Linked DNA regions of Xenopus tropicalis. The protein of the gene in region 1 interacts with the protein of each later gene in a biochemical or structural test. Links are inferred from orthologs where the notes say so. Each region holds a gene or a part of one and is shown on either strand. Other genes may lie near its edges.

Evidence for each region.
Region 2: the proteins of grwd1 (region 1) and rpl11 form a complex in vitro, tested with the Homo sapiens proteins (2 studies listed by BioGRID). The link is inferred for Xenopus tropicalis from reciprocal best matches to the Homo sapiens genes GRWD1 and RPL11.

What each region holds. Positions count from the first base shown.
Region 1 is NC_030683.2:114,828,688-114,839,611, forward strand, and holds the start of grwd1 (glutamate-rich WD repeat-containing protein 1), read right to left. Parts: upstream 5,944-10,924; 5' UTR 5,924-5,943; coding exon 5,680-5,923; intron 5,257-5,679; coding exon 5,139-5,256; intron 4,569-5,138; coding exon 4,403-4,568; intron 3,573-4,402; coding exon 3,359-3,572; intron 3,191-3,358; coding exon 3,048-3,190; intron 1,834-3,047; coding exon 1,636-1,833; intron 1,068-1,635; coding exon 750-1,067; 3' UTR 1-749. UniProt on the Homo sapiens protein: Histone binding-protein that regulates chromatin dynamics and minichromosome maintenance (MCM) loading at replication origins, possibly by promoting chromatin openness.
Region 2 is NC_030678.2:90,768,107-90,779,319, forward strand, and holds the start of rpl11 (60S ribosomal protein L11), read right to left. Parts: upstream 6,535-11,213; 5' UTR 6,530-6,534; coding exon 6,524-6,529; exon of another isoform or gene 6,461-6,523; intron 5,447-6,460; coding exon 5,299-5,446; intron 4,809-5,298; coding exon 4,702-4,808; intron 3,312-4,701; coding exon 3,180-3,311; intron 456-3,179; coding exon 345-455; intron 1-344.

The DNA.
Region 1 (10,924 bases):
TGGGGAGTCTCCCTCATATGCATGCTTAATAACATGGCCGCCTGTACCAAGAGCTCCCTCCCAGTGCTGGCACCCTAGCACTGGCAGGGACTGAGGTTTTCTTTTTTTTTTTAACTATTGTTTCCCTCAGCCATAGTGGTGGCTCTATTAGCCTGCAATTTTAGAGTAATATGTGCCCAATTAAGAGGCAAACTACCTTTTTAAAAAGACTTTAATATTTACCATGCCCTGGTTCTTGGTGGGGAAAAAAAAGGGTATATATTCAAGTATGTTACCAAGATTTTCAAAAATACTTAACCCGGACAGTTAACTTCTGGCATTTTTTTTTTTTTTAACAAATTCGCAAATAGAAATTTGCTTATTGCAGCTGCAGTAGTTCCATCGTCAGTATATGCTGCATTTAGGTATAAGCTCAGCTAAACTTAAAGTGACTGTTTAAAATGTTGGCCAGTCAGCACTGTGTAGGGGCTAGTAAGGATTTGCAGCGGAGTGATGGGGAAGTATTCACACAAGCTTAATTAGAACAGACATTGTTGATGAGGAAAAACAACAGCTTGCCAATATTTTCTGAGTGATTTTTGTAAGCCACAGTGATGCTATTTATTACTGCTGCAATACCATTCAGGCCACTATCAGTCTCCAGTCTTTTAAGTTATGGTGGTTTCTTGACCATGGTTAACCTTTCAGTACTTGTTAGAAAACATGAATCAACTGCAGGTTTCTGTGCAGCAAGTGGGACAGTAAAAACATCACACACTGATCGTACGGAAAACATTAAAGCCGGACAGGGCTGTGCTGACGACTACTCCCGGGCACTGGGGATGCCAATGAAGTTCTTTAATGTCTTTTTCTCCTTGATGGACAAACAGCAGCTGGGGAGGGATGCCTGCCAATGCTGGGTCTTCTGTTTCTGCCTCCTGATCCTGATCTCTTTCAACTGCAAGATCCCACTGTGTTATCTGGTCGTCGGCTCCCGACGCTGCAAAGACGCCGCTGTCGGTTGGGTGCCACTCTACTGACGTGATTGGAGCTGTGTGCTGTTTGAACTTGGCAACGCTCACTCCTTTCTGTTATGGGTAGAAAACTTGTTATTGAAGTCAGTTCCTTTTATGACATATATCATTCCAACCAAAAAAAAATAAAAATTGTATATTTGTACAGAAAAAAAATGTAAAATATGTACATACACAAACTTCAAGGCTTTTACTGTATATGGAAGTACATTTCTACTTTTTTGGATTGTTTGCAAATGTAAATGAATACCCAGTTTCACTGCATTAGCAAGGCTGGAAACCATCTGTGACTTTAGATTTTGCTTATACATAGCAATTAATAATACCTCATCACGTGACTAAGCAATAATGGGAACTTGGACTATTAAAGTATTGATAGCTCATCCCTTCAATCCAATTCCATAAACTTTTTGCCTGCGTTGCCAGAGACAAATATATAACATAGGGTGCAAAAGAAATAAGTGCACACACAGGAGCAATATACAAAGCCAGAACCAACTTGGCTCCAGTAACCAATCCATGTAGACAAATCTCTTTCAATGGACTCCTCTCTTACAGCAGCATCTAATGGTTCCTAATATATTGTATATCTGTACATATATATGCCCAGGCCATAACCCACCTGGAACTGGCGAAGGTCCCAGATCTTTAAGACACCATCATCTCCTCCGCTAACAATGAAAGGTTCTTGGTGGTTCCAGCTGATCACATTGACATCACTCTCATGGGCTTGGCTGGCAGTCAGCATGCAGGCTTTATTAGGGGCTGCTCGGACGTCCCAAATACGAATGGAAGCATCAACGGAGCACGAGGCAAACACCTAAACAGATAGATTTATTTTTGATGCCCCTTATACATTTAACATGAAAGCATAAAAAACAAATCATAATTATTAAACCAAAAGCCAACAGGATACTTTGTCAGTACATGATTTTGCTTACTTATTAATAAACATTAAAGTGATACTGACACGAAAAAACAACTTTTTAAAATATGAATCTACATGAAAAGTTGCCTATAGGTCATGTTGATCATTTTTTGCTGATAGGTTTGCTTTTGTAAGTAATTGTTACTTGAAATCCCAAAACCTGACTGTTTTGCCAGCCTGACTGTCCCTTCTAATGCTAACGGCCCCCTGCTGGACAAATATGGCAGCCCCCTTATAGAGGAACATAGGGGATCAGACAGGGAATGTAAAAGCTTGGACAAATACTTTTATGGCAAAATTATAAATAGCATGCAAAGGCAATGTTATGACAATGTTATAAAAAAAGGTTTCATTTCTGGTGTCAGTATCACTTTAAGGACCAGCGTATTCCAGTAGACTGTAAAGTGTAGAAAAGGACTACAGCTTGCTTGTTAGGCAAGGATGGCACCGAGCAGATCTTTCCCCAATATGCCCACCTAAGGTGGGTGATTTAACGACAGGGATACCGGCCATTAGGACAAGGACAATCTGATGAGAAAATGACACCTTCCCTATTGACGTGGCCGATTTTCGCCAAGGTATCAGAGGTAGGCCCCATACACAAGTAGATAAGCTGCCGAAACAACAGCTTAAATCTGCCTCTACAGCCACCTTTACTCTGGAATAGGCAGTGGTTAAAGGTCTTGCAGTGTTTTGTGCAAGTCCACGGGCAACTTATATTACATTTCTCCCTTCTTGTCTTGAAGATTATATTTGTTGTGTATAGTCAAAGGATGCAGAGAGGAAAAGTTAAGGCATAATCACTAGTGGCTGCCATTACCTTCTTCCTGTTCTTGGCTGTCTTCTGTGGCCCTGAGCCAGGTGCCCATATGCAGCAGAGTGAAAACCCAGCTTTGTACTTCTACATTCAGCTTTTCTCTCTACCGAGCATATACACTTAGACCAGGGTCGCAGAGAAAATCGAAGAACAGGAAGACGATGGGGGTGTGATGCTCCTACACAAATACTCTGGGCTGGTGGAGTCTTCAGCGAACAGGAGCACAAGGTCGCAGGTCGAAAGAAATTACAATCACTAGAATAACTATAAGACAGTGTATGTTCTTTACCGTGGCTTCTGTAGGAGACCACTGAAGATCCTCAACAGATTTAGTATGGCCCGTGAATGGTCTCTGGTCAACATGCCACGTTCCCCCTTCTCTTGGATCCCACAGATGGATGTTCTTATTGCAGTCACCAGTAACCAAGCGCCCTAAAGAGGTAGTGAAAGGGAAGTAGAAGACTAAGTGAATCAAACTATTGATGTTTAACCTTTAAAAGCAGCTCATGTACCATTAGGCATTTTTACCAAGCCTTTATAATCAATAACAACTCATGGGAATTTGAGGCTTAAACTTTGGATAACTTTGATATGGTGTACCTGCTGTTTTTGGAGACCAATCCATTGCAAACCCTTCGGTCATGTGCCCGGAGAAAGAAAACACTGGTTTGATTTTGGCTTGTTCCTCCTTCAGAAAAGCAGCGAGCACCTGAGAGTCTGACACAGCCGACAGTTGCTTCCTTAGATCATAAATATCCACTTGCCCTTTCTCTGACCAGACAGCAGCCACGGGTACTTCCCCCATTGTAGATACCTAAAAGCAGAGACAAACCAATGATAATATAACAAACAGAAGTAGTTAAAAGCTCACATTTGCTTGTATACCACATATATGGATCTACTCGTATATAAATATATATTAGATTATCACTTTTTTAACATTTTGTTTCCCTTTAATGTTGCAGAGCATTCCAGGTCTGACATTTACAAATAAAACTACTAACAACAGTATTGTATACCACAGCAGAGGTCGCAATAGGGCAGCACTTCCTAGTTTAGTGTATACAGGTATAGGATCTGCTATCAGGAAACCTGTAATCCAAAAAGCTCCAATTTGCAGGAAGGCAATCTCCCATAGACTTGTAAGCAAATTATTTACATTTTTAAAAATTATTTCCTTTTTTCCCCTGTAATAAAACAGTAGCTTGTACTTGATCCCAACTAAGATATAATTACCCCTTATTGGGGGCAGAACAGCCCTATTGGGTTTAATGGTTAAATGATTCCCTTTTCTCTGTAATAATAAAACAGTACCTGTACTTGATCCCAACTAAGATATAATTACCCCTTATTGGGGGCAGAACAGCCCTATTGGGTTTATTTCATGGTTAAATGATTCCCTTTTCTCTGTAATAATAAAACAGTACCTGTACTTGATCCCAACTAAGATATAATTACCCCTTATTGGGGGCAGAACAGCCCTATTGGGTTTATTTAATGGTTAAATGATTTACTGAGATCCAAATTACAGAAAACCTCAGGTCCTGAGCATTCTGGATAACAGGTCCCATACCTGTATATCTTTTCCTAAACATGGCAAAGTTATAAAGACAAAAACAAATATGAGAACACAACCCGACTTACGCGAATTCTATTAATGCCACCATAATGAGGCACCATAGCGAGCTCTAACTGAGGCTTCTTTTCTTCCTCGTCCTCTTCTTCGCCACTGTCACTGCTTTCAGAATCGGAATCATCTTTCTTTTCCTTGCTTGTACGGTGCAAATTGTACATTTTCATTACCAGCATCCTATAAGAAAGAGAGGAAAAAGAGTTACACTTCCTTATACAGGCTGGGTGGATTCTCAGGTACTGTAGAACTGACAGTAAGTTCTGGTGAATAAAAGATACAAAGACAAGACAACTTGACCAAAGTCAGAAGACATCAGTTCTGTTCTGCAGACCTTGGCTTGAGTAATTGCTTTACAGCTGCTAAAATGAACAGCTGCCTACTAAGTGTCAGTCAGATATTGACAGTCAGTCAGTCTGATACTGCATGAACTACAGGCCAAAGAAGTGTTGGTCAAAGGCCAGATTATAGTAAAATGACAATGTCAAAAAGCCATTTGGCAAACTGGAGCCATAAAAATCACTTGGAAGTCTAGTGGGCCCCCAGCTGGGCAGCCTTATGGGGTTCATTTCAAATGTTTGATATTATATGTTACTGCAGATATGTTATTGCATTCTTTTTTTTCCCCCAATAAATACACGACCATATATAATTGATCAATTTGTTAAACGAGGTTTTCTTCATCTACTTTTGAGACTTAGAAAATCAGATGATGCTTATGTACCCCTGTACATAATCTATTTCTAGTACCTGTTGCCTTGAGCAGAGTCGGCCTGAGTACCAGCGCAGAGGTACATAGTCAGCGGGTAATCTGTGCGATTTTCCCCCAGGGTATCACGGATGACATCAAAACTTAAACATGGTGCACCTATAACACAATAAAAAAAGAAACCATTTAATTTTCATACAAAGAAGCAAAAAACTACAAGACAACCGTGTAGTATAGTTTTGTAGTTGACATTGCTGGGGTCCCAGGTTTGATTCCAGCCAGGGCATTATCTGCATGTTCCCCCTGTGCCCCCCTCCCCCAACACATACCGGCAAGTTAAGTCATTCCTAATAACTGTAGATATAACCTATGGAAAGTGCTGTGGAACACGTTGGAATTATTTATATACTTATAAACATATATTAAAGATATCATTATAAAATGACCAGGCTGGTAAGCTTGCATGGTAACTTGCCCTTTAAAGAGCCCGGGACTGTGCGCTGAACTTCCCGCCGCTCCCCTCCCTGCCCGACCGCTCCCCTATAAGGGATCCCAACACCGGGGAGCAGAAGGGAGCGTTACCTGTCTGTGCCTGGTGATACAGTACATACGCCTCCTGGTCCATCACCAGCTCTTCTCCCTCCTTAAGAGGCTCCATCCCGGGCAAATAGACCCGCTTGGGCCCTTTGTCCTTCTCATCGTCCTCCTCTTCTTCCATAATATCACCCTCGTCATCTTCATCCTCGCTGCCCGACTCTTCCATACCTTCATCTTCCTCCTCATCCTCTGCGGGATTTCTCCATGTGGTTTCCCCAGTGCCTGACATCTTGGAATCGGGCGACGTCACTTCCTCTGGCTTCGTCTGCCATGTGTTCTAACCTACTTCCGCTGACGCCTTGCCATTACTATGGAGGCGATGTGCAGCGGTCTCTACAGAATGTAGATGTAAAAATCTACCCATAAACCCAATAATAAAATGCAACAAGACACTCCAGACGTTAGCTAATTAGTTACTTGCTATTGTTAGAACTAAACGCAGAATGGTTTGCAATTAAGGCGGCCGTTATATATTAAAGACCAGCAGCAATACTTCTTGTATATGTATGTATATCTTTATTTATAAAGCGCTACTTATGTACCCAGCGCTGTACAGTAGGTTATTCATTAATACAGACAGGAGGTTAAAGATAATGGATAAATACAAAGTACAACAATAAATACAAATAAATACAAGGTGCAGTTGCAATAAGAGTCAGAAACACAAGATGAAGGAGGTCCCTGCCCCGTAGAGCTTACAATCTATATGGGAGGGGAACTTACAGATACAAATAGGCAAATATAAGTGCTGTAGGTCACAGTGGGTGACACTACAATATAAGTGCCAGTTCCCAGATCAGGTGCTGGGTGAGTGCTCCAAAAGGGAGTCTTTAAGTTTAGTTTTAAAAAGACTGAGGGAGGATTCTCTCCGGAGGAAATCAGGGAGGGCATTCCCAATGTAAGGGGCAGCAGGGCAGAAAGGTTTAAGGCGGAAAACAGCTGTAGTAGTTGGGGGCGCAACCAAACGGTTGCTCTGCGAGGAACGAAGGAGTCGGCCAGGAACGTGCGGAGACACCAGGGAAGAGATGTAGTGAGGGGCAGAGGAATGGAGGGCTTTGAAGGTTAAGAGAAGGAGTTTGTAAACTATTCTTTGTTTAACAGGAAGCCACAATAAGGCCTTTAGCAGGGGAAGGGCCTGAACTCTCCTGGGTGAGAGGAGGAGAATTCTGGCAGCGGTGTTTAATATAGACTGTAGGGGAGAAAGATGGGAGTTAGGGAGGCTGGTTAGCAGCAGGTTACAGTAGTCAAGTTGGGATAGCCTTATGGGGGAGTGGGGTGATAATCTGTAAATCAGCAAAGGGAGTGGAGAGGTCCCCAGTGCTCCTTATGAGAGCAAAATGTAAAAATTTTATTGTGGGGGTACTGTCTATGGGGGGCACTGTGTATGGGGGTACTGTCTATGGGGGCTACTGTGTATGGGGGCTACTGTGTAAGGGGGCTAATGTGAATGGGGGCAATTGGGGGCACTTACTATGGGGGCATTGTGTAAGGGGGTACTTTCTATGGGGGCACTGTGTATGGGGGCTACTGTCTATGTGGTCAATTGGGGGCACTGTCTATGGGGTCAATTGGGGGCGCTTTCTATGGGGGTACTGTCTTTGGGGGTACTGTCTATGGGGGCACTGTGTATGGGGGTACTGTGTATGGGAGGCACTGTGTATGGGGGATACTGTCTATTGGACCATTGGGGGCACTGTGTATGGGGGGGCAAAACTGGTACTTAGTTATAACTCACATATGCCTTCTCTCTATATTTGAGAGGAGTTGCTGTATTGTTTTCCTTAGGTAGAACAGTATGAGGGTATAGCACATTTGCGTCTGATCCCACCATTTCAACTATATAAAAGGAGTATATTTTGAAAAAAAGGGGTGTGGTATTTGGGGACGTGGTCACAAAAGGGGGCGTGGTCAAGAAATTGCTGCGATGCGCGCACCAAATCTTTTTGTCCCTCTTTTCATTTTTCAAATGTTGGGAGGTATGAGATAAGTAATAAAAAGTGACAAGAACAGTTAAAGGGTAGCCTCACAGAGAATAGGTGTTAAGCTCCTGGGGGGGGGTCAGTAACTCCTATCTGAAAGCTAGGAGTCAGAAGAGGAAACAAAATAATGTAAAAAATTTTTTATAAATTAGACCAGTTGAGGAATAGCTAAGAATTTACCATTGTATATTGTACTAAACTATAATGAACTATACCTTTAACTGCAGATACCACCAGCCATATATAAAAGCAACTGAACTCAGTGACTGACTCAGGGTGCTGAGAGAATCCAAGCGCTACTGCCTGGAATTGAATGTGGATTGGGAATTGGTTTTTAACCTATTAACCTAGTTTGCAGATGAAAAGGGCATGCCGGTGTATTGGCTTAGCTTTCCGATAGATGGAGCAGAAGATCTTGCATTTCTTGTGTTTCCTTGTTGCCATCAGATCCAGCTGCAGTGCATCCCACCTGTGTATTATTACATGAAAAATTGGTGGTTGAGAGACCATTCACCTGTCATAATTATGTTCCCACTGAGCTGGTCTGCTAGAGTTTTCTACACACCTCTTTTGTGTATTGCTGAAATGTGGGAGTAAAGCCTAAAAATGAATATGGCTGGAAATGTCATATTTTATATACTTTATGCATCTGCCTAAAAATTCAACATCTTTATAACAGTACTGATCAAGGCCTACAAAGTTGTAATCTCCCCATTTGGATTTTGATAGGAGTGTCAGAGACACTGCACATGCTCAGTGAGTTCTGTGCAGCTGGTGAAAAGCTAAGCTTAAGGGTTGTCAAAAGTCATCAAGCAGAAAATGAGTTTTCCTATCATATAAGATGATAAAATGGAACGTGCAGGTATGCATCTTACAGGCCTATGGTGACAATGAGAGGAAATTTACTGCTGACCTTATGAGTTGCATCCTGAATTTCTGCCATTGTATAAACTTGTATAGGTATCTCAGGTTTATGGTAGTTCTGACCTTCCCTTCAGGTTTGGGAACCAGAAACAGTGCAGAGTATATCCTTTTGAAACAATCTAAAGCTTTTTTTCAGTTCTGAAGAGGAGAAGAGACATATTTACTGGGGATTCTGCAAATTTGATAGTCTTCTTTTATATTACTGAATACCTATCTGAAGTGGATTTTTCTCACTGTAAAAATGTGAAATATGTCCTTGTCATGAACCATCTTAAGTTTTGGCATCAGAATTCTGTGTTTGCTTAACATCTTGCTCTTTAAAAATAAACACAAAAAAAACTTTTTTTCCCACACCTCTTGTCTGGTCTCAGTGTGGCATTTTTGTTTTGCCCAAACCTCAAATCTGCAATGTTGCAGACGTTCCGGAAAGTCTAAAAGAGTCTAAAGAGGAATCTGAATATGGAATAACCAAAACAAGATTTAGCTGGGATATGGATTCAGAATACTTAAGTCCACAAATAGCCAGGATCTGGGAAGGCATCAAACCAGAAGTCTGAAACAGACCAAGAATCAGAAACCAGGAATGAGTAATTTGGGGGCCCGAATTAGCCTGAATTGGCCCGAAATTGCCCACCTATAGGTGGGGATATCAGATCTGCTCGCTTGGCGACCTCTTCCTGTGCTGCCTAAAAACATAATGAAAAACAGTATCTAGTAGAATTAAGTCTAAAACAACTGGACTTTTCTGAGTTTTTCTTGAAACCGTTTCACCACTCATCTGAGTGGCTTCTTCAGTTCAAATGACTGGTAGGGAATTCCCCGGTATTTAAACTCTTGATGGTAGTAGAGTCACAGGCATCCAATCACAATGGTTCCATTGCACGTTACTGTCCTCAAAAGAGTGACCTTTTTCTTTGAGGTGTAGATAGACCGCTGAGTCTTGTCCTGAGGAGTTTGCCCGCCTATGTTGGGCCATTCTCTTACAGAGAGGTTGTTTTGTCTCCCCAATGTATAAGTCTGAGCACTCTTCACTACACTGGACAGCATAGACCACATTACTTTTCATGTGCTTGGGTGTTGGGTCTTTCGGGTGCACCAGCTTTTGTCTCAGGGTGTTGCTGGGTTTGAAAAACACAGGAATGCGATGTTTGTTGAAAATTCGCCTAAGTTTTTCCGATGTTCCAGCAACATATGGGATGACTATGTTGTTTCGCCTGCTGTGTTCCTCCCTTCTGTTTGTAGGTCTGGTCTTTCTGTTGGTCTTTGATTTGGTTTTGATGAAGGCCCAGTCTGGGTACCCACAAGTTTTCAGAGCTCCTTTTAGATGTTTATATTCTTTCTCCTTAGCCTCTGCATTGGATGCCACAGTTTCAGCCCAATGATGTAGAGTCCTAATTACACCCAGTTTATGTTCCAAAGGGTGGTGGGAATCAAACAGCAAGTACTGGTCTGTGTGGGTGGGTTTCCTGTATACTTCAATATCCAGGTCCCTCCCCTCTTTGATAACTATAGCACAGTCCAAAAAAGCCAGTTTGCTGTCTTTCACATCTTCCCTTGTGAACGTGATGTTTTTGTCCACCGAGTTTATGTGTTTGGTGAAGGCTGGAACCTCGCGTTCTTTAATTTTGACCCAGGTGTCATCCACATATCTGAACCAATGACTTGGTGTTGTTCCCATGAAGGTGTCCAGGGCTTTCTTTTCCACTTCTTCCATGTAAAGGTTCGCTACAATTGGAGACACAGGCGAACCCATGGCACAGCCATGTTTTTGTCTATAGAAAACTTCCTTGTGCTTGAAGTAAGTGGTATTGAGACATAGGTCCAGTAAGGAACAAACTTGTTCTGGGGTCAGCTTTGTTCTGCTGCTGAGGGTGGTGTCTTGTTTCAGCCGTTTCCTCACTGTATCAATTGCCTCGGCAGTGGGTATGCATGTGAACAGAGATGTTACGTCATAGGACACCATTGTATCATCGATCTCCAGCTTTAACTCCTTCACTTTTTTGACAAAGTCCATGGAGTTCTGAATGTGGTGTACTGTGTTTCCAACTAAGGGGGCTAAGATGTTGGCCACATATTTAGCAATGTTATAAGTCACACAGTTAATGCTGCTGACAATTGGCCTCAAAGGGGCTCCTTCTTTGTGTATTTTTGGGAGTCCATATAGGCATGGAGTGGCTTCGCCTGGGTAAAGGCGACGGTAAAAACAGTGTTTGCCCCTTGCCCAGAAATCAGTCCATATAGGCATGGAGTGGCTTCGCCTGGGTAAAGGCGACGGAAAAACAGTGTTTGCCCCTTGCCCAGAAATCAGTGCCTTGAATAAACCTCAT
Region 2 (11,213 bases), on another chromosome or scaffold:
GGGGATTGTCACACTTTTGAATCTTCATTATAAAATACACAAACTGTCCATTATGCACAATACTTCTGTCCAGTCTTCAAGAGACTGATGAAGCGGGCAACAAACAAAAATTAATATTGCATTTGTCCCAGGTTCAAAGTCAAAAGAAGTGCAGTTTATTCTGCAGCAAAATAGCCGAGCATTTGACCTGAATCTAAACCACTTTCATACCCTGTGCCTTCCAGGGAATTACCAACTGTCTTATGAGCTGGAACTCAAGAACAGCTAGGGATTGGTAGAGTATTAGTACATAAACCAGTGTTTCCAACTTATTTGTGCATTCTTGCATGTTCCTGAAAGTTTACCTTTTGCTGGAACCAGCGCATTGCCTCCTCTTTTCCAATACGGTGCTTTGCTCCAATTGTGCCTCTCTTGCGTTTTTTGTCGGCAATGCTAAATCCTGGTCGGCCAAGAACCTGTGAATATTAAATTTGGTAAAAAATTATTTAAAAATCAAGGCTGACAAGTTTGCATTTCATTACAGTCATTGCAGTAATTGTGCACTGTCAACTCAATGTTTAAGAACACAGCTATAAAGCATGAAGTACACATTCCTTCCCTCCCTTTCACTATTTATATATACTAAGGGATCTGGAGCTTCACCTCTAACACTGCTGCTAACATGCGAATATACTCTTAGCAAATCTTACTAAAGTGGGCAATATTGGTATAACGCTCCCTTGACCTACCACTTCTTTAGGAGGGGGTACATTCGTCGCACTTTAGAGACTTAATGCTTTCAATTGCAAATAGTTACAAAAAAAAAAAAAAAAAAAAAAAGGGGGGGGGGAATAAAAATGGAAAGCTAAACCCTTATAGTATTTTATTATAAAATAAGTCACCAAGGAGCTTCTTGACCAAATACAAGCACAAGGTTTTCATGCAGGTCACAGAACTCCATGGTGACTTCTAAATATATTTTTTCACAACAAGGAGTACATTATTGTAATTCACAAGTTTCAGCAAGTCATGTGACAGAATACATCGCTGGGCTTGATTGTAACGGAGCACATCACTAAGCACCGTTAAGGAGTTAACTTACAGGATATTCTGTGTATTATATCCTTATAATAAACAAGAGCCATGAATATTCAGTAATATCCTTTAAATCAGTGGTTCTCAACCAGTGGGTTGGGACCACTTTGAGGGTCGAACAACCCTTTCAAAGGGGTCTCACCTAAGACCATCGGAAAACACATTTCCGATGGTCCTAGGAACAGAGACACCGCTCCTCTATGGTTGGGGGTCACCACAAAATGAGGAACTGTATTAAAGAGTCGCTGCTTTAGGAAGGTTGAGAACCACTTTTTTAAATTGTTACAGAATATTAATGGCTCTTTATTAGAAGGATACAATACACAAGAGCCATGGAAATCCTGTAAATTATATATCCAACAACTGTGCTTGATGCCATCCATTATAATTTGTCACATGACTAAACAAAATGTGTATTATAATAAATGCACTCCCTGTTCCTTTACCTGTACTAAAAGCACTGAATGCTTAGTGACTTGTACCCCGTTATAAAATACGGACATTATTCACTATATAAACTTACAGGATATTTTTTCTAATAAAGCCAGCACTCCAATAAGGGTAAACAATACTATTTTGACTAATAAATGCTTCTACAGAGCACTAAACACCCCACACCAGAAGGTAGCAATCTTTGATTACATGCATGCACTGAATGGTCAAATTTACCAGCTCCCTAATTATGTGTCATGTGTGGCTCATTATGCTTCATATGCGTATAATGCAAGTGCTGTAATTTTCTTTTGTATTACTACCTAAATGACCACCAGGAGCTCCCTTCCATTGCAGGCACCATAGCACTCTCTAGAACTTTTTTTTACCAAAAAGTCATATTTCCCCCTACAAACTAGTGTACCTGAAACCACCATTGGGCCTCTAAATTCACTTTTAGCATATGTTAGACAGCCCTATTACTGAACATATTCAGACCCTTAATGCTTGTGTCAGGCTGAAAATGTCAAGTACAAGTGCTTGTCAGTTTCACTGCTCCCAGTGACTTTGCCCCCCCCTTCTCTAAGGGCAAAGACAGACTGGGAAATTAGCTGCTGCAATTTTTTTTTTTAAAAAGCTAGATGCATTGACTAATTGCCCAGCCACGGCAACTAATTACTGCAATGTTACCCATTCTTCAAATATGAAAATCACTGCATGCAAAGGTACCAACACAGCTACAAGTCACATCTACTTTAGTAGCGGAATTGGTCACTGCAACTTTTTTTTTTTTTTTTTTTTTTTTTTAAATCACAGCAACTAATCACCCCATCTATCTTCACCATAAGAGTGGAAACACAAACCTAGCTTTTTACATGAGACTTTAGTGTTGGTACGGTTACACAGTTCAGCTAAAACCGGCAAAAGGCAAGCATAAAACGGCTGCATCTGTAAAACTAGGAAAGGAGGTAGAAGCTAGGGAAAGCAAGCTACCACAGAGCTATTTTCTCTGATAAGCCCTATGCGGCTAATGTTAAACATGGGTTATAGTGATTAATTTGGCTATAGTACCCTTTTGTTTATTTTGGCCTCTATCTTAAACTAGCAGACGGTTTAGGAGCAGCAACTGCCCACTTACCTCTGCAGATGCCTCATCTACATGCATAGATGGCGAATCTGCAGGTAAGTTGCCATTTAGACTGACTGAACAGGATTTTAAGATGGACTGTCAAAATTTAAGGTGGCCATACACAGCAAAAGGTTGCCAAATGAATGGATCTTCCCCTTGACCCTTAAGGTGGGCGATATCTAGCTTATTTGATAGACTGACCCTTGGGCCAAACAATCAAATTAAACCAGCAGGCATAGGAGCTGGTGGGCCGAGGACTGCATCGATGATCAGATCCCCAATCCAATGGAAAAAACAAACATGCCCATCGAGATGTGGACAATTTTAGTCAAAATCTGTCTGGTATGCCCATCAGGGGTGCCCATAAACTGGCAAATAACCTACCAAATAAGACTTTGAATCGGCAGCTATAATCTGCCCGTGTATGGTCACCTTTATGCCCAGGTTTTAAACCACAAGAATCAGCCAAACCATCCAGCCAGAATTTAGATATGTATGGCAAGATTTAGATATACTTAAAAAGCTGTTACCAAGATGCACATACCACATAGAAGTCCAATCCATAGATACCAATGCTTGGGTCATATTTAATCCCCAAGTCAATGTGTTCCTGGATACCAAAACCGAAGTTCCCTGTGTCAGAAAAGTTGTTTTTTCTCAATTCATATTCCCTGACCTAGAGAGAATAAAAATCATTAAGGAACCTTTTATAAATTACAAGAACATTGTCCACTAATTTATGCAGGATAACAAATATGCAATACTCAGTCTAAAAAGGAAGCAGACCTCCATGTAGTGTTGCCACCTGGCCAGTATTTAACAGCCATAGCTGGTATTACATACTCACCGTCAAGTACACTGCTGGAAAATTTGTAATACCATTAAGATGCATCTCTGCCCACTTAAGGCCCAGTCAACTCCAGTTCCAAATCAGAATCAACCCAGGCATATCCATGCAGTAATGGACCCACCCGTTTACTACTTTGTCTCACCTATGAGGTGCTGTGCAGCCCCTTTAAGTCACCAGCCAGTTACATTTTTCGAAAGGTGGAAATGCTACCTGCTTGTGATCATACAGATGTGTAAAAACTCCTCTTGTTCAGAATATATATTGGGCCAGTGTATTCTTCTGCAAGAGCACAACCCTGAGGTATCATGTAGCCTCACCAATAATCGAAACTTTCTGCCTTCTTAAAAGTTTAGAACTACATATCTGAACAGTCGAATCTATCATTACTGACATTTCACTACTATACAGAATTTTATGAAGGACCGATATCCCATATCAACAGGTCCAAAGTGAATGTGATAATTGGCGCTTTGGAGCATACAAATTATGGTCTTACAGCTGATTCTGCTTCTATCTTTAGGCTATGCCCCTGTACCAAGGTCAAGGGGCCTTTTATCATATCCAGTGACCAAATACACCAAACAATTCCAGTCATCACTACATAAATTGTCTTTTTTTATCAAGCTATGTATTGATCTTCAGAAAATGCATTCCCCAAAATCTGGTGTAAATGTAAGCTGCCCATTGAAAACTGGAAAATACATAATTCATTTTTTTTTTTTACTTCTTTACTTCTGCTGAAACTTGACGCTTGAATTTTTTTTCCATTGGCTTTAATACATTATACGAGGTTTGTAGTGGCATGAATGACATGAAATGCAAATATAGAGTGGCATAAAACACACCCCTTGACAAGTGTGCCATTTTACACAGCTTCTTACACTGTTTTTCAGCCTTAGTTTTACCCAGTATGACACATTGGGTATAGCACTACAAAGCAGGACAACAACTGAAATGGTGAAGTGTCCAAGAATCCACCAAACAGTTGACTTAAACCCAGACTGCTTGAAGTGCACTGGGTGCCTACAGTGTTACATGCAAACAAAACAAGGTCTGCAACAGCATGAAGTTCCATATTGCGGACTTGTGCTGCAGATATGAAACTAAACCAAGTTTTACGCCATTTTAAGCGCACTTCAGCCAAGTTGTAAAGGTATGTTGTGTAGAATTCAGTGGTTTCAGTTAAGGCAAGCAACTAAGTTAGCAAGGATCCTACCTTCAAGCCCTTTTCCAGGATCTCTTCTGCTTTGGCTCCACGTACTGTACAATGTACGGCAATTTTCTCATTTCTTCTTATGCCAAAAGACCTCACTGTGTAACGGGCTGCAAAACAAATTGCTATTGTAAGAGCACAGCTTTGCTAAATGTATCAGATCTAACAAAGGGGCAGCTGGAAAAGAATCATGCACTTAGGTCAACAGGTTATAACACCAAACAAAATAGCAATCCCAAGAAACAAATGATTTTGTTGAAAAGTTTTCCCTATTAGACATCCATCTGATATGAAGTCAACAGTTCAGCTGTATTTATTAAACTTCTATATAGATTTTCTCACATAGCCTTGCGGCAATACACATGCTACAGGGGTGCCATATGTATAAGCTCTTAAAAAAAAGGGGTAATTTACAGCACAGTCATATGAACAGAAGGGAGACAAAATTGGTAAAAGGCCTGCAATTTTAGTTACTTGCAGTAACAGTGCTCAATAGCGACATCTACAGTAAATGAGATGGCAAGCTACTATTGAAGGCATGTTGGGACATATCACTGACAGTATCATTTAAAAAAAGAATTAAAGTGATGGTTTCTTTACCTTTAGAGAAGACAGGAGTCTGCCCGGTGAGCTGCTCCAGCACCTTGGCTGCCCGGGTCAGTCTGTCACCACTCTCACCAACACAGATATTCAAGCAGAGCTTACGAATCCGCAGCTCACGCATAGGGTTCTCTTTGTCAGATTTGTCCTGGAGGAAGGGAAGAAAAATTATTAGGGATACATGAATCCAGAATTTGGCTGAATATTAAGAATAGGGCAGAACGAACTCCAAACCCTAAAAGAAATGTAAATTTAAGAGGCAGGATGAGTGGAAGTGAGATGCAAACGGTCAATTTTTCCAAGATTTAAAAAGATTAGATTTGGTCAAATAGTCAGCCAAATACTTTGGCATATATTGTATCTTAAATGCCTGCTACACTGATATTGCAATTCAGCTTTCATACAGGCTTAACAGTTCACAATAATGTCAACTAGCAGGCTAAATATTCATTTAATGTATTTGAAAGATGTCAACAGGACAGTAAGCAGGGAATAACTTCCATAAGGTCACAAACTACTAGGGGCTTTCAGTTTGTAATATTACATTTCCTTGTATTTTATTTAAGGAGTTCCCAATTCCTCCCATAACCAAGAACACATTATTTTACAGGCCAAGGTAACATTACCACATTCCTCTAAACGTCTACATGAAAAAAAGCAGTGAAAAGATTCAAGTATTTTAATAAGTCCCCTGGATTTACTATGAGGTTTATAAAAGCACACACTATACAATCAAGTTAGGTGTAACAGGCAGACACACTGACCAACCACCAAGGATACCAGAGTCCCATACTGTCCGACAACACAACGTGCTTAAAACTCCTACATACATATCAATATTTTAATGATTCAGCCTGCCTAAAAGTCACACATTTGCCTGTTACTAGGCGCAGTCATATAAAACAAGTCGTAGCAGCTCAGCAAATAAGAGCAGACAGTCGACGCTAAACATAACAGACCGTGTACCAAAACAGTTATGCATATTCTAAAGATCCTTATATGCTAGACATACACGGCATACACAGTTATGGCTGTATACACCCGGCCCAGAATGATCCTCCAACAATCTGTCAGTGTAAACGGGCCGCTACAATAACTAGATCATCGAGCGAACAGATTTGCCAGCATACGATCTACATAAGTATATTTAATAGAGACGCGCCTATGAAATTGATGGCGACAGATTAAATTCCCCGGCGCAAAAGCTTCCACATCTGAGACTCACCGCCATGTTGGGAGATGGGAAGAGATCGCGAGAAGTCAGAGTCTGCTTTATATAGTGCGTAAGGCCCGACGCATTACGTCACAGCGAGACTTCGCTCATGAGATTAACTTTACGTGTGCCGGACAATCAGGGTTGTGACTGGATTCACCTAGCGGAATGGGAGTTTACTTCCCTGAGATATAGTAACTGAGTACATTATAGGTAAATTGATGTTCTTATTCCTTTAGATTTTGATATTATTGTTTGGGGTGTGCAATAATCAGTTGTTTTCTGTAGAACGAATGGATTCTATTTCAATATCAGATCATGCTTCTTTGTGTATTGATCTTTATAAACCATTTCTTGGATTGGATTTTTTTCAGTCTATAATAGGTATTTTCTGTAGTCTTTTTTAGTGTGGGAAGTAAAAACACCTATCGGAATCTGAGTAATTGTTCTGTTATCCAGTGCAATACAAAAACCATTCTTACAATTTAAAGGAGAATAAAGTAAAATAAATAAATAAAAAACCGGGGGTTCCAGTTTGTTTGGTGCCCTCATTGCTTCTAGATGCCAACCTGGGCTGGCATTCCTACAGTTAGGGGCCCTAGGCTGGCTTCTAACAGTAGGGAGCTTAGTTGTCACTCTCTTCCAATTTCCCAGGCATTCCCTTCACATGTTGCACTATAGAACAACTTCACTAAATTCTGTACTGTGCATGCACCCAGGTTGAGTAATCATAAGGAAGTCCTGGGAACAGAGTATGAGATGGCAGGTGCATACTCTGCTGTAAAGTACCCAGGGCTGGTGTATTTTTTTTAGAGTGGAGCATCACCCTGGGGTAAATAGCTGTTAGCACTGACTTTAGGGATGCCCTGAATCCATTATTTTGAGATCTCGCGAACCTTGAATTCTTTATGAAGGATTTGGCCACACTGGCTGTCCAGAGGTTAATAGTAAGGCTGCAACATCCCCTTAATCATGTAGATTTCCTTCTTCTCCTGTAGCCTCCCCCCCTCCCCCTCAGGACTTTGCTTTGACTTCTGGTTTATAGGCATGCTCAGTTGTTCTAAGCTCAGATTACTAAACACGCCCTCCAGTCTAGCAGCCAGTAAAGAGATGGCATTGCTAGTTCCCATAGAAACTCAGCTGTCTGCTTCAGTTTTTTTCTCCTAACTTTCTCTCCTGAACTCAGCTTAAACAAAGCAGAACTTTTATCAGAGACAGTTCTGCCTGTGTGAGCCTGTATTCTTGATGAAATGTACCTTTGTGTGTGTAGGCTGTTTGCAGATTTAAATGTAACTGATTATGTATCAGAGGAAAAATGGCCACAGGGTGAAAGCTATTATTTGCTTTAGGAATGTGATGGTGCTGGCAAATGGATGGGATAAATGCAGTACAAATAATGCCATTTGCGTTGGGTTGATGTGCCCAACTGATATACATTGTAGGCAAATGTAGGCTTTACATGTCCTTTAAGGATTCAAATTCCAGGCATGTGGATAGGCCTGGCTCCGATTCCTGCTGAAAAAGGCTGAATCTTGGCCAATCCTGATCTGAATCCTGGATTTGGTGCATTCCTAATTGACTTGAATCAGAAGTATGTTGTCTAAAACCAGCTGCCTATAATACGTAGCACATACAGGTCTTGAGGATTAACATCTGGAATGCACTGGTCAAAGCCAGTTGAAAAATCTTTTATTCAATCTTTTTGCAAGAAGAATTTATTTAAAGAGATACTAAGACCAGAAATTTAAACTTTTTTTTATATAAAAAATTATCAAACATCTTTGCATGCTACATATAGTATTTGCTCAATGCTTTTACATTACCTATCTAATTCCCCATGTTCCTCTATAAGGGGGCTGCCATATTTGTGCAGCAGGAGTCTGTTAGCATTAGAAGCTATAACTGACAGGCTGAGAAGGGACAGGTTATCGGGTTGGCAAAACAGTCAGGTTTAGGAACTTCAAGTAACAATTACTTACAAAAGCAGGTCTATCAGCGAAAAACTATCAATATGACCTAGGTAACTTTTTATATACATTCATATTTTGAAGAGTAGTTTTTAATGTCAGTTCACTTTAAAGCAAGGCATAATTGTGTTAATAAGCTTACAAAGGCCTCACCTGGAGTACAGTAATACCTTGTAGTACACACTACTGTTAAAGACATGCACTGCTTGCAAATATTGCTTTTTAAATGTTCCACGTGGTATTTCCTATTTTCCTCTTCTACCTACTTAAAGGAACAGTATATTTCTTTTAAAGTAAAAGAAATATAATGTACGGTTGCCCTGCACTGGTAAAAGTTGTGTGTTTGCTACAGTAACTCTACTATAGTTTATATAAATAAGCTGCTGTGTAGCCACGGGGGCAGCCATTCAAGCTGGAAAAAAGGAGAAAAGGCACAGGTTACATAGTAGATAACAGATAAAACACTATTGTATTCTACAGAGCTTATCCGTTATCTGCTAAGTGCCTGTGCCTTTTCTCCTTTGAATGGCTGCCCCCGTGGCTACACAGCTGCATTCTTTATATAAACCATAGTAGTGTTCCTGAGGCAAACACCCCAGTTGTACCAGTGCAGGGCAGCAGTACATTATATCGGAATTTCTTTTATACACTTGAATTTTTTGGTGTTACTGTTCCTTTAATCATTTACTTTAATCAGAAAGATGGCACAATATTCCCTCCCAAATAAACTTTTGATCATCATTTGCATATCTTCCATTTCTAAAAGAATAAGTAAACCTTTTTTTTCTATTATTAAAATTACTCTAAATAGCATCCCAGAATTGTCTGCCTTTGTCCCTTCATTCTCTCTGACCTGGTTCCTGAGTTACAAGCTGCTCGATTCCTCTCCTTCTTTGTTCAGCGTGAAGCTCCACCCCCACTTCCTGTTCAGGTCTCTCATTACTTTGACTACTGTAGTCGAAGTGGAGAGCCTTCTGCACATGCCTTCTGCACAGGCTTTTGTAAGGCATGAACACAAGCATGCAGTCCCAAAATGTTTTTGGTCATGCCCCTTGTTTGTGCAATATAAATAGCTGATGTTACTCTATAACAAGCAGTTCATATATTCATTAATTAATGTGCTAACTCATTCAGTTTGTTGGGGGTCAGTGAAGTTTTTCCTAAGTTTAACCCCTTCCCACCTTCTTGACCCTGCTCTCTTCTATCATTGATTGTTCTCCCTCTACACGCTGTCTTTGGGAGATCTTATCCATTCATTCAGCTTTAAATATCACCTGTATGCCGATGATATCCAAATTTATTTTTCAACCCCTTCGTTAACAGTTGAAACTGAGAGTCAAATCTCTAACTGCCTCCTGGCTATCTCTAATTGGATTAACCAACCCAACCTCAAACTGAACCTAACAAAAACTGAACTAATGATCAGTTAGGATTGCAGGGTGAGTTGTTGGCTAGCTGGTGAGGAATGAGTTAACATGCATTGGCCACGCAGCCTATCAGAGTCAGGCATAGGTTTCTTAAACCCCCTGCGTGCACTCCCCTTTGCCAGTTCAATCAAATCTCTCACACACCTAGTACCTTTGCAAACTTTCAGCATTACCTGGGAGCTGAGCTGTGAGTAGTCAATAGTTTCAAAATGTTTGCCTAGCAGCTTTTGCCTATGCTGCCAACAAGTTACAGACTTGTTACTCTGTTTGTAAGCCAGCAGCTGCACCCAGGAGCCGAGCTGTGTGTGTTGTTACAATTGTTTCCAAATCAGCCTAGCAGCTATCCTGCTGGCAAGGCGTCAGACTTGTTACTTTGTTTTGGGTCTCAAGCAAGGGGATCCAGTAATAGTGTAACTTTTGCCTTATAACATATTGAACTGGCCATAAAATGGATCCAGCTGAGACCAGTCAAGCTATTGCGGATTTGTCTCAACAATTTGCATCAATGTTTCAAGCTATGTCTAGTCTGCAAGCACAGGTTCAGCAGCCATGTTACACAGGCTAATTTTTCAGCTGCAACCCCAGCAGTATTCTACTGATTCCCATAGAGTGGGGCTGATCCTGACACTTTTGTCTGGGGAAGCTTTAAATTGGGCTTCTCCCTTTATTGAACAACAAAGCCCCTTGTTGTCTGATTTTAATGGGTTTCTAGCGGCCATGGCGGTTATCTTCGATGACCCAAACCGTGTGGCCACAGCTGAAGCTGCCTTACTTGGTTTGTCCCAGGGGCGGGGGACTGTGGCAGAGTATGCCGCTAGTTTCAGGCGGTGGGTGGCAGATACCTCCTGGAATGAGACTGCGCAAAGCTTCCATTTCAGGAGGGGCTTGACAGATATAATCAAGGACGAGCTTGCAAGAGTTGATGCACCAGAGGACCTAAGCTCCTTTATCCAGTTCATCAAAATTGATAGGCGTCTCACTGAGAGGCTCCATGAGAAACCTGGAAGGCCCTTGCCAACACCTATTACTAGCCTTGGTCAGGGTGAGGTCTCTCAAGATGTGGCTTTAGGGGATGAAGCTATGCAAGTGGGATTTATCCGGGGTCCTATTTCTTTGGAGGAAAGGAATCAGCACAGAGCCGAGCGCCTCAGTATGTATTGCGGAGTGAAGGGTCACTTTTCGGCTGGGTGTCCCAAAAAACCCAGTGGAACCTATTCTAAAAGGAATGAGTCCATGAAAGGTATAGCAGATGTACCCCAGATTTGTAATGTCTCCCCTAATGTTTTAAAGAATACTAAATATTTTACT